2 linked regions of the Rhinolophus ferrumequinum genome follow. The protein of the gene in region 1 purifies or fractionates together with the protein of each later gene. This does not show direct contact. Links are inferred from orthologs where the notes say so. Each region holds a gene or a part of one and is shown in the gene's direction. Other genes may lie near its edges.

The links. The genes of interacting proteins can lie anywhere in the genome.
Region 2: the proteins of DUSP9 (region 1) and MAPK11 purify together in Homo sapiens (affinity purification with mass spectrometry; 4 studies listed by BioGRID and IntAct, with this or other methods). This does not show direct contact. The link is inferred for Rhinolophus ferrumequinum from reciprocal best matches to the Homo sapiens genes DUSP9 and MAPK11.

The regions. Positions count from the first base shown.
Region 1 is NC_046284.1:6,765,794-6,772,909, reverse strand, and holds the start of DUSP9 (dual specificity protein phosphatase 9), read left to right. Parts: upstream 1-4,095; 5' UTR 4,096-4,261; exon of another isoform or gene 4,262-4,271; intron 4,272-7,116. UniProt on the Homo sapiens protein: Inactivates MAP kinases. Has a specificity for the ERK family.
Region 2 is NC_046293.1:431,550-438,628, forward strand, and holds the start of MAPK11 (mitogen-activated protein kinase 11), read left to right. Parts: upstream 1-4,004; 5' UTR 4,005-4,359; coding exon 4,360-4,475; intron 4,476-6,824; coding exon 6,825-6,954; intron 6,955-7,029; coding exon 7,030-7,079. UniProt on the Homo sapiens protein: Serine/threonine kinase which acts as an essential component of the MAP kinase signal transduction pathway.

The DNA.
Region 1 (7,116 bases):
ACGAGGCTGTAGGGCCTTAGACAAGTCATTGCCTTGGGGGCTTAGCTCCCTCCTGCCTTCATTTATTTCAGTCACTGTGAGAAACTCACTAGGGCTTCCAGGTCCAGGGCTGGCGGCAAAGAGATGGTCCCAGACCAGACCAGGGGGTGATGGCTCCAGGGGTGCCAGGAGAGATGCAGAGAGGTGCTGGTGCACCCTGACCCCGGGACAGTACGTGACACAGCCTGGCTTTGGGCCTTGGTCTGGGTGCAAGGAACCAAAGGAGGCCCAGGCTGGGCCTTGCAGTGTTGGGAGGGGCCAGAGGAGTGGTGGGGGGATGCAGCCAGACAGGGTCCTTAGTACTGTGACAGAGCGGGAGCAGACCCTTGAGGAACAAGGTAAGAAAAACCCAAAGCATCCCCAGAAGCCCCCTCCCCCCTCCTCTCGCAGACATCTGAGCCAGTGCAAGGGGTCAGAATGAGCCCCAGCCTGCGCTGGACTCACTGCCTGTTTCATATATTATCTTCTTTCCCGTGATGAGATGGCCTCACTCGAGAGGCACATTCCTGGAGGTGGGGGGGGGGGGAATGAGAGATGTTGCCAGAAAGGCAGGTAAGCCACTCATAGAGGTCTTCCTCAAAGTGACTGGCGGGTCGCAGCAGTTTGGTCCTTCCACCCTCAGTGGCTCCCCTCTCTCCTGGCCCCATTCAGCCCTCAACTTCCCTTGAACAAGCCAGGAAGTCATCTGCTTCCCTCTCTCCTACCCTTCCACCGAGTGGGGGCTGGAAGGGCTCCCAACTCTCCCCCCTCTTCCCTCTCACCTCCTTTTGCCTGTCCAGCCAATGGGTGTGGGCGTCTGGCTCTCTCCCAGCACAAGGATTATATCATCTGTAATGTATATCCAGACACACACGCCGCTGCTTGGGAGGACAGGAGAAGGGGAAGGAGCCAACACAGCTGGCCGGAGGGGGTTTATAACCAGGTTATTGAACCTGAACCTGAGCCCTCCCGGAATGGGGGTGTTAATGGCTCCTGAGAACCTGGCCCCTCAGAAATCAATCTCAGCACAGGCGGGCTCTCTCGAACTCCCCTCCCTCCTGCTCTAGCCTGGGGCTGCCTCACCCTTTCACCTCAGCTGCAAGTGCAGATCTGGGAGCCGTCACCAGGGCCATTTGATTTCAAATGTCCGGATGTAGCCCCACTGGGAACTGCAGCAAACAGGTTGGGTGCCCTGGAACAGGGTCTAGAATGTGCTTCTGAAGGTATGGCAACTGGTATCACGTCTAGAAGATGCTGGCTAAGGTGCCTCTGATGGGGGAGGAGAGACTGAAGCCTGTTATCCAGTGGTGGCCTGGGGGGAGCGGTTGTCAGGTGAGCAAATGGCTTCAGCTGTAGGTATTGCTCTCAGTAGGACCAAATGGTTGCCCAGAAATAAAGCCTTGTGCATGTACCCAAGTGCCAGCGTCCCTCAGATGGGAGCAGGGTCTCTAAGCAGGGGCCAGATGGGGTGGGCCTCTCCTCAAACCTCCACTTACTTGTAAAGTAGCCCAGAATTGAGACCTGGAAAAGGTGAACAGAGCAGGTACAGGTGCCTTCAGCCAAAGGCCCAGTCTGTCAAAGCAGGGCCAGCAATACGCATGGCCAGGCTGAAGACCTCTCCATCCCAAGCAAGGCCCAGCTTTCTGCCCCTCCACCTTGCCAAGGGCCGGCAGTTCCTGGTCCCCCGCTGAGAGCCTTGGGCTTCTGGTGAGAAAAGGGGCATGGCCAGAGAGGAGAGAGTGAGGGCTAGAGCTGCCCAGTCACCCCACCCTCAGATAGGACCTGAACACACGGGCGTGGCTTCCAAGATGGAGGCCAGCTGTGCCTTTAGAACAACCTGGATTCCGACATGGTTGGCTTCGTACTCAAGTCCTCTTCAAGAACATTCTCCATTTTATTCTTCAACAGGGCACAGGCCAGGCCTTGCTGGCCAAGACAGGTCTCCGGGGGTGAGGAGGGAGGTCCCATTTTCTGAGGCAGAGCAGGCCTGTGCCTTCAGAGCTCCTGGGCCTGGCCTGGCCATTGTATTAGCCTTCTTCTCTTCCAGTCTGGTGAGTCTTGTTGCCTGGAGAGCACAGGCACTGTGGGAGGGTAGGATGGGTGTTTTGCAGGGGTGGGGGGCACCATCAATCAATCCAAATGTTCCTCCTCCAGCCCTTCAGCCCTGAGTCACTAAAGCGCAGGATGGGGGGGAGGGAGGGAGTTGGTTATCCAATCTTTCCAGAAACTTCTCTGTGAGTCAGCTCACCAAGCCTTTGCCAGGGGCCAACTGAGTGCCCAGGCCATGGGCACAGCCACCATGGTCTTCCCCAAATGGGAGGACCACCAACGGGTGACAGCTGGCCCCATCTTTTTCAGTCTCCATGTATTTTCATGTTTTGGCTGACAAAATGGCCCTATTGCTATATGGCACAGAGTTTAGCGTATGTTGATTTCTTAGCAAAGGCCCCTAAATTTCAGGACAACCGGCAGGGCTATCAGAGAAGCACAGCGTCCAGCGGGAGGTCCTGCACACAGTTCTGTCTGCTCACCCATGTGGTGGAGGTTGCACAGTTCTGCTCCACACTGGATCCCTAATGCTGAAGGAAAGGAGAAAGGACAGCCCAGCCCCAGGAAGCACCCTGGGCCTGCCTGGCAGATGCACCTACCAGCAGGTGCAGCCCAGAAAGGGCCTGAGTGGTCATCTGCTGAGGCTGGAAGGGGCCAAAGGGCAGGGCGGGCATGCAGCCTGGTGGCAGCAGGACCCTGTCCCAGCTCACACATAATGGATTAAAACCGCCCTGAAGCTAGGAGGGCCCTTGGAAATCAAGAGGTCCTCCTTTCTACCCAAATGTACAGATGAGGAAACTGAGGCACCAAAGACAAAGCTGTCTGCCTCCTCTCTCTTCCAGAGGTAATGACTCAGGGGAATTCAGCACTGTCGCAGACATGAGCCAGGCGGCCAGGCCTCCCTTGGCTGCCCCTCATCCATGGAGTGGCTGGCATCCCAGTTCTGCCAGCCTCCTTAAAGATGTCATCCCATCCTGTCCTTGCCTCATTCTGATCTCCCTGGGCTGAGAAGGGAACCCCCTGCCAGAAGCCAGCCCACAGCCTCATGCTGGTTCTCAGCATCCCTCATGTCTCGTTCCAGGGCTGAGCCCCAGCTCACCTGACTACTGGCCTGGGAGCCCCTGTGTGCTCCCCCCTGCCTCCCTCCCTGCCTCCCCCTCCCCACAGCGGTGAGCAATCTGGGAACCGGTGGGCCTTCTTGTTCACACTCAGCTGAGGCTTGGGGAACTCAGCCCATCTCAGCCCACTGGGGCTCTGCCACGACATTATTGCCTGACCACCAGGAAACCACTGCCTTGGTTTCCTTAGCTATGGCATGGGAATAGTCTCCTCTGACTCCCAGACTGGTGCAAAAGCAAAAGGAGTTCCTTGATGGGGGATGCCTGTGGCCTTCCGTGCAGAGGAAAGCACACTGGGCCTCCTGACAACACCCCCTTCCAACCCCTCCCCCAAAGTCCTGGCTCCACCCCTTCCAGGCACCGAAGCTCAAGCGATATTACTATTAGCCAGAATCTGATACGTGAGATTGGGAGAGGACAGTGCAGGGGAGCCTGAGGGTTGGGGGCGCTTGCAGTGTAGTCAGCTGGACCTTAAGCCCTCACCCCTGCGGCTGCAGGAAGTGGCCCTGGTGGCCAATCTGTGCCCGGTCCTCGATGGGCCCCTTCAGTTCTCTTGCAGAAAGCAGGGGTGCCAGTGGAGACTCTTCGGTGCAACCCTCCCCCAGCCTAGGCCCAGGCCTAGGTCAGGGCACCCCACCCCATTCCTGTTCCCCAAGCTCGTGGCCCCCACGCAGCAGGGCTGTTGGGGGGCATCCAGACAGGGGCCTGGGTGGGCAGAGCGAGCAAAGGCTTTCAGGTGGGTGGAAGGCGGGCAGGGGCGGGGGAGGTGGAGGGAGACGCCGGGCAGGCTGCGGCCCCTCCCCGCTCCCTCCCTGCGCGCCGCCGGCGACGGTGCCCCTCCTGGGCAGGGGGCGGAGAAGACGGCGACGGGAGGGGAGGAGGCGGCGGCGGAGGCGGGATTTGGAGTTTCCCTCCGCTGCGGCGGCGGCGGCAGCCCCTCGGCTCTAGGCGAGGCCGCCGCCCGAGGCTCCGGTGGCGGTCGGCGGCAGTGGCGGTGGCGCTTCCCGCCGCCCCGGCTTTGGAAACTTCCCGGCCGCCACGCGCGGAGCCGGCGCAGGAAGCCGAGCGGAACGGAGGTGAGCAGAGGTGAGCGGAGCACGCGGCGCCAGAGCACCCACCCCCACCCCACCCCACCCCCACCCCCACCCGGCCTGGCCGCCCTCCGACGTGCGCTCCTCCACCCTGCACCCCCAAAGTCTTGCCAACGCACACCCCACGGGGCCGACGCACGCGCCCCTGTGAGACACACTCGGTCCTGCCACCGCACACCCCCTGCATCCCGACCGTTGCACCTCCGGTGTCGTCCACCACGCACACCCCCTGCCACTTACACTCCCGAACACAAACCGTGCACCGTGGACCCAGGTCCCTGCAGTGCAAATCCCAGTAGCCCGGAACCCACCACTGTCCCCAACTCAGGCCAGCACCCATCACAGACCCTGCCACGCCTCAGTACACACCCCGGTTCACACATACTCCCAATACATCCCTGCACTCTCAGCACTAACCTAGCTCCCCTCGGTGCCCCCACCATCTCCGACTCCCCATATGCTCATTACAGACACCCCACCCACGTTCCCAGCCCAGAGACATTGCAATCCACCCACCCCCAAGCGAAGCCCCAACACTACCCCACACCACAGAGGCTGACACTCCCCAGCTCGCACTCTCAGGCACCCCAACATGTATGCACACCTGCTGGATCCTCTCTCTCCAGCACCCAGCCCCGCCCCCATCGCAAATAGCCTTCAACAGCCCCCAGAACATCCCCGAGTCCCTCCCACCAGCACCCCCAACACCTGGCACGCGGGCTCTAGAGGCTGCAGCATTTGGTGACATCCCTGCCAGGCGCCTCTGGCTCGCCTTGGGCAGCAGCTTGCCATCCTGAGGGGCCCCAGGTGCCTCCCTAAACAGACCTTGAGTCTCCCCAGCGACTGGCTTGGTCTCTTCCCTAAGATAAAGAAGGCACTTAGGGCACAAGGTACCGTACTTAGATGTCGGGGCACCGGGAGTGGGGGTGAGGAGGAGGCAGAGAGGCAGGCACTTAGATGGAGGCGGCAGCACATAGTAGGTCGGTGCCACGAGGACAGGAGTTCACCCAGTGTGTGTGCCAGTCTGCGTGTGTGTTGGGAGGAGAGCTGTGTGTGCACGTGTGCTTGTGCATGTCTGGGGGGAGTGTGTGACCCGCTGAGAGAAAAAGCAGGAGCAGCACCCTCATGGGCTCCCTCGTGCAACAATTGGTTTCATTCATTCATGCCTTCTTTGTTAACGAGCATTTCTTCCGTGAGCGCCCGGCTGGTGCCAGGCCCTGCACTGGGAGCTGAGGCCAGCTTGGGGCCGGGCACACACCCGCTCCTGCCTTGGAGGAACTCCCAGTCCCGCGAGGAGACCGACCAGGAAAAGCAGAAAGCCATCCCCAGCAGAAAGTGGATTTGGTGGAAAAGACACTGGATTTGGCAGGAACGCTGTCGCTGGGAGTTGTGCTCCCGACCATGTGACCTGGCCGCGACAGCCGAAATCCTGCCACTCGGCCCGGCGGGAACCGTGCATTTTGGAATGGGGGGGATGGAGGGAGAGGCGGGGCGCCCCTCTCCGAAGGCTCTGGGGACCAGAGGGCGCACGCGGCGCGCACCGGGCCTAACGGCGGCAACGTCCCCGTGTCCTCCCAGGGGCAGTGGCCTGGCCCAGCGGAAGCCAGGGGTGCCCTGCGTGGGCTGGGGCTGCGGGCGCAGCGCCCACCCTGCGGCGAGCGCGCGGCCTGGCTCCGCCCGCCGGAGGGAGCCTGGTGAGGCCCCAGCGCGCAGCCCGCCTTCCCCTCCCCAGCCCGCCCGGGAGTCGGGTGCGGGGAGGGGCCGGCGCCCCGAGCAGGCGCTGCCGAGGCCCGAGTGCGGAGCGGGCCTGGCGAGGGTCGGGGGAGGGGGCCTTGGCTGCGTTCAGCCCTGCAGTGCGGAGGTGGCAACAGGTTCCAGTTTGTACTGCTGCTAGCGCAGCGGGCGCTGCTGGCGCTGGGCACAGAACACTCGCTTTCCCCGCTGGAGGGCTTGCCAGCAGGGTTGGGAGAAAGGTGCAGGGGAGCCACTTTTCAGGCGTCGGGAGGCGAGGCCCGCACAACCCCACCCCGGAGGGGGGGGGGTTTCTTGGAGCCTAGCTTCCTCTCCCTTCACCACTGTAGAAGTTGCCTCCCTCCGCATCCTCATCTTCCCAGCCAGGCTCCCATCACCTCCTCCAGGAAGTCCTCTCCAGATAGCATGCCTGGGCCCCTGTGGAGTACCTACCTCCCTTGGGGTTGGTGGCCCTCTCTCCAACTATACTGAGCCCCCATTATATAGTGGGTAGGGGCATGTGTCTCTCCACTTCCCTATCAGACGGACTTTGCCACCCTCAGTGCCTACAACCTGGCCAAGCCAGGCACCCCAGGCTGGCACATTACAGATCACTTTAGTGCCTTCAACCCCTGGCCACTCCAGGGTCCCACTCACAGCTGCAGCAGGCCTGGAGGGAATCCCCAGGCTTGGGGCGCATGGCCAGGTGGCTGCCCACCTCTGCCTCTGGGAGTGAGGATGGAGGTATAGGAGACACTGGAAGACAGAGTCTCTGCCCCAGAGTACTCAGGACAGGGAAGTGGGCCCCACTTCCTCCCAAACTGCAGCTCTTGGGCATTGCAGTCTCAGAGAGCTGAGGTCTGGAGCGCAGAGGAGGGAGACAACAAGCTGGCCCAGGAGAGAAAGGCTGCCTGGAGGAGGGCACCTTGAGGGGGCCTGAAGGAGCAGTCTGGACAGGCTGCAGAGTAGGGAGGCCTGGCCTGGGCATAAAGGGGCACATACCAGCTGCCTCAGGCCCCTGGATGCTGGTGGTGGGACTCATCCCAGAGGCCAGGACGTAGTGGGCTATGGCCAGAGATGAAACCCAGGCTGGTGACCCACTGGGTCAG
Region 2 (7,079 bases), on another chromosome or scaffold:
GGGTTGTGCAGAGGCTAATGCCCACCAGCTGACTGAGTCCACACCTTCCCTGCTCTGCCGCCCCAGAGACCAGGATGGTCAAGTGTTGGCAGATGAAGCCTCGGGTATGGGAGGGGCTGGGGGCAGCTCAGGCCCAAAAGAGATCCCAGAAAGGACTGTGGTTCCAGAGAGGTACAAGGAGGCAGCCCTACCAGGCAAGGAAGTTGGGGGATTGGGCTGGCCGGACACCTTCTGGTGGCCAACACATCCCCCAACCCCCTTTGGGCTGGGCCACTAGGAGCCATGGGGCTAGGGGTGGGCATGGTATCAGCCTACCATCTGGACCTTGAGTTCTCGGGGACTGTTTCTTTCTGAGGTGAGGGTCCCCCCAGTACACATTTAGTAAGCCCTTACCTTACTGTATGCAGACCCCACCAGACACGGCTGGCTCTGGGGTAGACAGCCCGGTGTCCCCCTGTTTGAGGCAGTGGGGCCATTAGGGGGTTTTCTCCTCTGTCCCCTGAACCACCCAGGATGACTCAGGGCATCAGTAGGGCTCAAGGGCCCTGTGTGGGAGAGCAATTGGCACCTTTGCTGATGCCAGAGTCGGGGGAGCTCCCAGTCATGTCCTGCACAGGGCAGGGCCTCTGAGCTGTGCCACCTGCAGCCACCAGGCACGTGTGTGTGCAGGTGAGTGCACAGCATCTGTGCGTCCATCCCCTTAGGCTGCATGCACTGTCCTGGGCACTAGGGACACAGCAGTAAATGGGACAGACACAGCCAGCTCTGGGGGAGCCCCTGTGCCCCAAGAGTACCAGCCTACGCAGAAAGGGGATTTGGCGGCTCCAGAATGAGGAAGTGGAGGTGGTGCAGCTGCAGGTATGGCTGGATCCAGGTGCTCACATGTCTGGGTCCCAGCCATCTGAACTGCTTCCCAATTCATGTGGGTTTATCCTTGGGCAGCAGAGATGCTGGTGGCAGGCAGCCCCAGCCTGTGACTCTTCCCCTCGGGGCACATAACTGGAGACTCCCATTGGGCTAGGACTTGACCATGAGCCACTATGCATGGGGGCGCCCCGTTCAAGCCCCATGGAACGAGGGTGGGTATCTCCCACAAGGAAGGGGTACTAGGCAAACAACTGACAGCCCCTGCCCAGGGACCCCTGAAATGACACTGCTATGGGCACACTAGGCTCCCCGCTTCCCAGAGTCACAGCTAGTCAGGAAATCTGAACAAGTTACTGCTAAATCAGAGTTAGGAGGAAGTGCTGAGCCTGGCAGGGGGCATTGAGGCCTGGCTTTTAGACTGGACCTGTGTGGGCCACTTCTGCCCTCCCACCCTCCACACTCCCAACAACCAGGCAAGAAGATGAGGAAGTCAGTGAGACCCTCTTCCGCTCTGAAGCGTGGAGATAGGGGAAGGGCCGCAGGTCCATCAGGTGGGGTGCCCGCCTTGGAGGACAGGAGTGTGAATGCTCCAGGGCCGGCCTTCCGTGGGGCTGGTGAAGGGTAGATACCGGGCTTGGATGTTGGGGTGCATGGGAAGGGCAGGCCAGCCTTGAGTGGTCAGGATGCTGACAGACCTCTTGCTTTCCACTTACATTTTCTCCAAGGTAGAGGGAGTGGGGAGAGACAGTGATGGGAGGGGGCCGCCGGAATCCCTGGACTTTTACTTCCAAGTTGCAGGCACCACCCCCTGGCTTAAGAGCCCGAACCCTACCCCCCCACCCCAGCCAGAATGGCATTTTAAGAAGTTTATTGTGACCTCTGGGAGAAGTGCAGCTAGCCCAGCAAGGGGCTGAAAAGGCGGTGGCCTGGACCAGAGGAGGGATGAGTGGACGTGGAGAGAAGAGCTGGGCTCTAGATATTTAGGGGTGACAATGAGTCACAGGGTGGAGAGAACAGGCCAGGCCTGGGTAGGCGGCCCTTCTGTTCAGCCCCCTGTCCCCCAGGTGAACACACCCCATCTTACCACATTCCCAGCTGCTGTCCCAGCCCCACACCACCCGCTGCTCCAGGTCCAGTGCTCTCACCCAGAGGTGGCAACCTTGACGTGGTGGCCTGGGGGATGCTAGGAAAATATGCAGCAGACTTCCCATCACCCTGATGTCAAAAGTCGGAAATCCGGGCTGTGCTCCTCCCCCACCAGCCTGCCACAGGCCTCTGCCCAGGGCCACCCATCTTTCTGTTCCTTAAGTCCTTGAGAGTCAGGGCTCTCTTGATGCCGGGCCCAGCTCTGCTAGTGTCCCCTCTCCAGCGGGTTTCCCGACCTGCCCTACTCTGCCTGCCGTCACCCCCACCGGAAACTCTCCCTAGCCGTTCCCCTGCAGTGTTACAACCCGGACCCTCCCCAGAAGACAACGTGGTGGGGCTGCTCAGTGAGTGTCCCCACTCTGCATGATCCACTGAGCCCGGCAGGGAAGCCGCTCCTCTCTGGTCAGCTCTGACCACTCACCACCGGGATTCCGGGGGAGCGGTGGGCAAGGTCCGGCATGGGCTTCCTTGAGCAGGCGGACTCCCCCACCCCTGGGGAGAGCACGGGGTTGCCCAGCTTCCGCGCAGCGACCCGGCCGGTCGCCATGGGAATTCGCTCTAGCCCGCGGGTCCGCGCAGACAAAGGCCAGGCCTTCCCGGGGCCCCACAGCCCGGTTCCCACAGCCCGGCTCAGCTCCCGCCCAGCCCTCGGCTTTAGCTGAAGCCCCATTAACTCCGCACAAAACCTCGGCCACCGGAGAAAGGAGCCCAGGGCGGGGCCCTGGAGGAGGCCCGGAGCGGGTGGCGAGGGGAGGGATACCGCCTCCCGGGGGGGGGGGGGGGGGGAAGTGAGGGCCGGTGGCTCGGGTGGCGGGCGTGGCTGGGACTCAAACCGTTTCCTTTCTCACTTCTCGAATCCCCGGAGTCCGGATTCGCCAGCAGACATGTCTGTTTGCCCGGTTCTGCGTTGACGTATTTTATTTTCATTTGGTTGCCAATATTTAAAAATCAGGAGAGTTCCATAACTGGGGTGGCCAGTTAGCTCAGTTAGTTAGAGCGAGGTGCTGATAACACCCAGGTTGCCGGTTCGATCCCCGTATGGGCCAGTGTGAGCTGCGCCCTCCTTAAAACAACAACACTCAGGTTTTAGTTTGTTTCGAAAAAGCAGAAGGTTGCCCAACTCAGGAGCCTAATTTCCGGCTTTCCTGGGAAGGGCAGCCCAGCCACTGCCTGGGCGGGGGTCAGGAGGCGTTTATCCAAGGGGAGTCCTTTCCTCCGAGCCCTAGTCACTGGAGGGGGAAAGACAAGCAGATGCGCCGGCCCAGAGCGCTGGGCAGAGAGCGAGACTATCCTGCTGGCACAGGGGAGCACCCTATTAGCCTGTGAGAACTGAACCGTTCAAGCAAAGTGCGTTGCAGGAGTTCGCAGCCCCTGGGAACTGCAGTTGGTTGCCAACTACAGGGGCTCCCCGATACCTGGGAAAGTCAAAGTGGGCTTCCTGGAAGAGGTGACAGTTGACGGGGCTGTTTCAGAAGGAGGAAAGGTACCAGGCACCAAAGAAGACCCATTTGGGGAAAGCTTCTTATGGGGACAACACCCTGGAGGGTCCCCGGGCGCCGCCGCTGTCCCTGGTCCTGACAGGCCTCGCAGTTTCCCCTAGAGGCGCTGGGCGGCCGACGTCAGAGGAAGGTCTGCCCGGAGGCAAGCCTCACCGCCCAAGCCAGAATGGCCTCCACGGGGAGGGGCCAGGCTGGCCCAGGAACCGAGGCGCCATCTGCCCACCGCAGAGGGGCGGATTCAACCCAGTGCCTCGCTGTTATTAGGCGGTGTTTTCTATGTTGATGAGAAATGTCTCCCAGGGTTCGCCCTGGCTTCTTTGATTTTGAGTGTTCTACTTCATTTCTGAGGAAGCAGCTGGTGGCGGGGGTGCAGGGCCCGGCAGCAGGTGTGTGGGGAGGGGGAACGCGTGGACCCGAGCAGGCGAAGGGAGTAGTTGTAAGTGTCGCACCGGAGCAGGGAGGGACGGGGTGCAGGACCCGAGGTGGGGAGAAGGGAGGTGCCGGCGCTGGTGTGGGCTGGAAGGGTGCGGGAAGCCGAGCGCGGTGCGAGGCGGTGGCGGCCTGGATCAGCGGCTCCCGGGCGGGTATTTGGAGAGGTGCATGGACCCCAGGAGGTATAAGCGGGAGGGGCTGTAAGTCGGATCCTGGCCTCCCCCTCCCCCCGGCGGAGGCCCATCCTCCCCGGGACCGCCCCAGGGAGACGGGAGGAGTGCCGGTTTCCGCTCAGCAGTGCCTCGGAGGGGCAGGAAGCCGCCTTGTCTCCGGGAACCCCCTCGAAGCCCCGCCCCGCGCACCGCCCTCCGTGCGTTCGGCTCGCGCTCCGGTGCGGCGGGGGGCGCGGACGGACATGTCGGGTCCGCGCGCAGGCTTCTACCGGCAGGAGCTGAACAAGACCGTGTGGGAGGTGCCGCAGCGGCTACAGGGGCTGCGCCCGGTGGGCTCGGGCGCCTACGGTTCCGTCTGGTAGGGGCGGGGCGGGGGGGGCAGGGGAGGGACTGAGCGCGCGCCACCACCCTCTCCCCGCCCGGCGGGGGTTCCCTGAGTGGGGAGGGGCCTCGCCCTGCCTCCGCCCCAGGCCCTGCGCGGATCTGGGGAATGAATGGGGGGTGGGAGACGGGAAGGAAACTTTCCAGACGCGGCTCCGGGGGGGGAAGAGGGGTCGTCTCCCGCTCCTTCTGAGCCAGAGTGACCCCCACCAGGCCAGAATCCTGCGGCGTCACAGCCGGCGAAAGGGCGGGTCTCCTGGACCATAGACGTCCGAGCACGCATCTGGGTCGCCCCGTTTAGGCTCTGGCAGCCCAGAGATCTGGCAGATGCCCCCGCCCTAGGGCGGGTACTTTGGTTTGTAAAAGAGCCCAGCTAGGGAGAGGGCAAGACCCCTCCCCTTAGGATGGCCTCAGGCTTTCCCGTGGGTCCTGCCCCTTCCCCAGTCTTGCAAAAGAGTCTGGATGGGGCTTAGGCCTGAGCAGAGACGTCTGCCACTACCCCTACAATCCTTAGGGGTACACCCCACCCTGTTTTTGTCCCAACCAAAAGAGCTCAAGACCACAGCCCCACAGTTAGGTCCTGGGGCCCAGAGAGAGGACAGAGCCTGGAAGGGAGACGGAGGGTTCGAGCGCTGAGGTCTTTTACCCTGGAGGGTGGGGAAGCTTCAGGGGGCTTAGGGTGAGTGAGGTGGTTGCAGGCAGTCCCGGCGTCACTTGTAATGTTAAAAGTGAAGCTGATCGTGGGTGTGGATGTTGAGAGGTGTCCCCCTCAGCACTCAGTGGGGTCCTTACCCATGCCAGTAGCAGGTGACTGCTGTCCACTGCAGGGGTCATGCGGTGAGGAGGCAGGGGCCCTCGAGGGGCTGGCATTGCTCCAGGATCTGGAAGGTAAAGAATGGGATTTCCAGTGGACCCGAACCTGAGACCCAGTGTTGGACTCTGGAGGAGGGGTTTGGGTTCCCCATGGTCTCTGATCTCACGCTGTCAACGCTGTCAGGAGCCTCAGGCAGGCCATTTTAGCCACAGCCTCTGTCTTATCTCTAAGATGGCAAGGGCAAGAGGGTCAGGGACAAAGTGTGAATGGCCCCTGGGGAATCTGACCGAGCCCTCGCTGGAATTGCCTCTGGCCCAGAGTCACCTTCTGGGAATTCCTCTTGAGTGTCAAGCTCCCAAGGGAGGCCCAGGTCTCTCTCCACTGCACTTAGCTTGATGAGGCCCAGTGCCGGTGACAGCCCTCTCCTGGGCTCCCTTGTTCCTCTGATGAAGCTGTCCCCCCAGGGCCAACTCCCTGTGGTTCCACTGCACAGACACAATGAGGCCAAAGGATCTGCTGCCCCACCTGAGGGGCCCACCCCTACTTCCCACCCCAGGAGTGACTTGAACCTTCCCCAGCAGGTCACAGGCTAGGAGGAGGGGCACAGATGCTCCAGGAGCCTACCTGGCTTCTCCTCCCCCCACCACCTGGTTCTGCAGGAGCTGCTGGTGGGACTGTGTGGACTCCGCAAGGTCCTGAGGCAGGAGGTGAAGAGTCAGGGAGGCGCAGCAGTTAGAGGGAGCGGCCTGTGGAGCTAGTCGCCTTCAGCAGGGCCCTGTCCTGGGCACAGTGGGCGTCAAGGGGGGGGGTGATGCCAGTGACTGTTGTGTCTCCCCATGAAGAGGAGATGGGTGTGCAGGTGGAGGGTCTGGACCTCTGAGGACGGGTTGAGCCACGGAAGATCTGTGGATGCAAATACCACCTTCGGCTAGACATTTCCTTCTGTCGGGTTGCTCACTGTTGCAAGTAATAATGCCAGTTTTTCCTCCCTATTTTGCGTATCCAGAGGCTTTGGAGGCAGCTCTGAAACCTTCAGGGAGCCTCCAGACCCACAGCCCATGGGGGAGGGGGACTGTTTGCTGTGGGAATAGCCAGTAGCTGTTTTTCTGGTGTGTTATTTCCACCCTGGTCAGTGGACACTTTGCTCTCCCAGCCTCGCTGAGTTGGGCGTGAGAGTCGTGGGGGTGAGGGGACAAAAGATCCAGTCCTGCTCTGGGGCTCTCTGGTGGGCAGGCTGGGAAGGCCTGCGTGTACGGGTGCCGTGGAGGGGGAGTTGCCTCTTGAGGAAGGAGGCTCAGAGGCCGAGCAGGTCACATTCTCATCCCTGGGACCCTGCGGCAGCACACGGATGGCGGTACAGCCCCGAGAGATCCTCTGGAGCAAACGGGCCGAGGGAGGAAAGCGGCGGGCGAGCAGGGGTGGGTTAGCGGTGCCATCCCCGCAGAGGAGTGGCGGCGGGGGGTGTCTGTGAGCGCAAGGCCCTCGCCGGCCGCCTCACCCACGCCCTTGCAGCTCGGCCTACGACGCGCGGCTGCGCCAGAAGGTGGCGGTGAAGAAGCTGTCGCGCCCCTTCCAGTCACTGATCCACGCTCGGAGGACGTACCGGGAGCTGCGGCTGCTCAAACACCTGAAGCACGAGAATGTGAGCTGGGACTCCCCGCGGTGGCGCGCCGGCGGGCCTGGGCCGGGTCGCCCTCCTGACGCCCCTCCCCGCCAGGTCATCGGGTTGCTGGACGTCTTCACTCCCGCCACCTCCATCGAGGACTT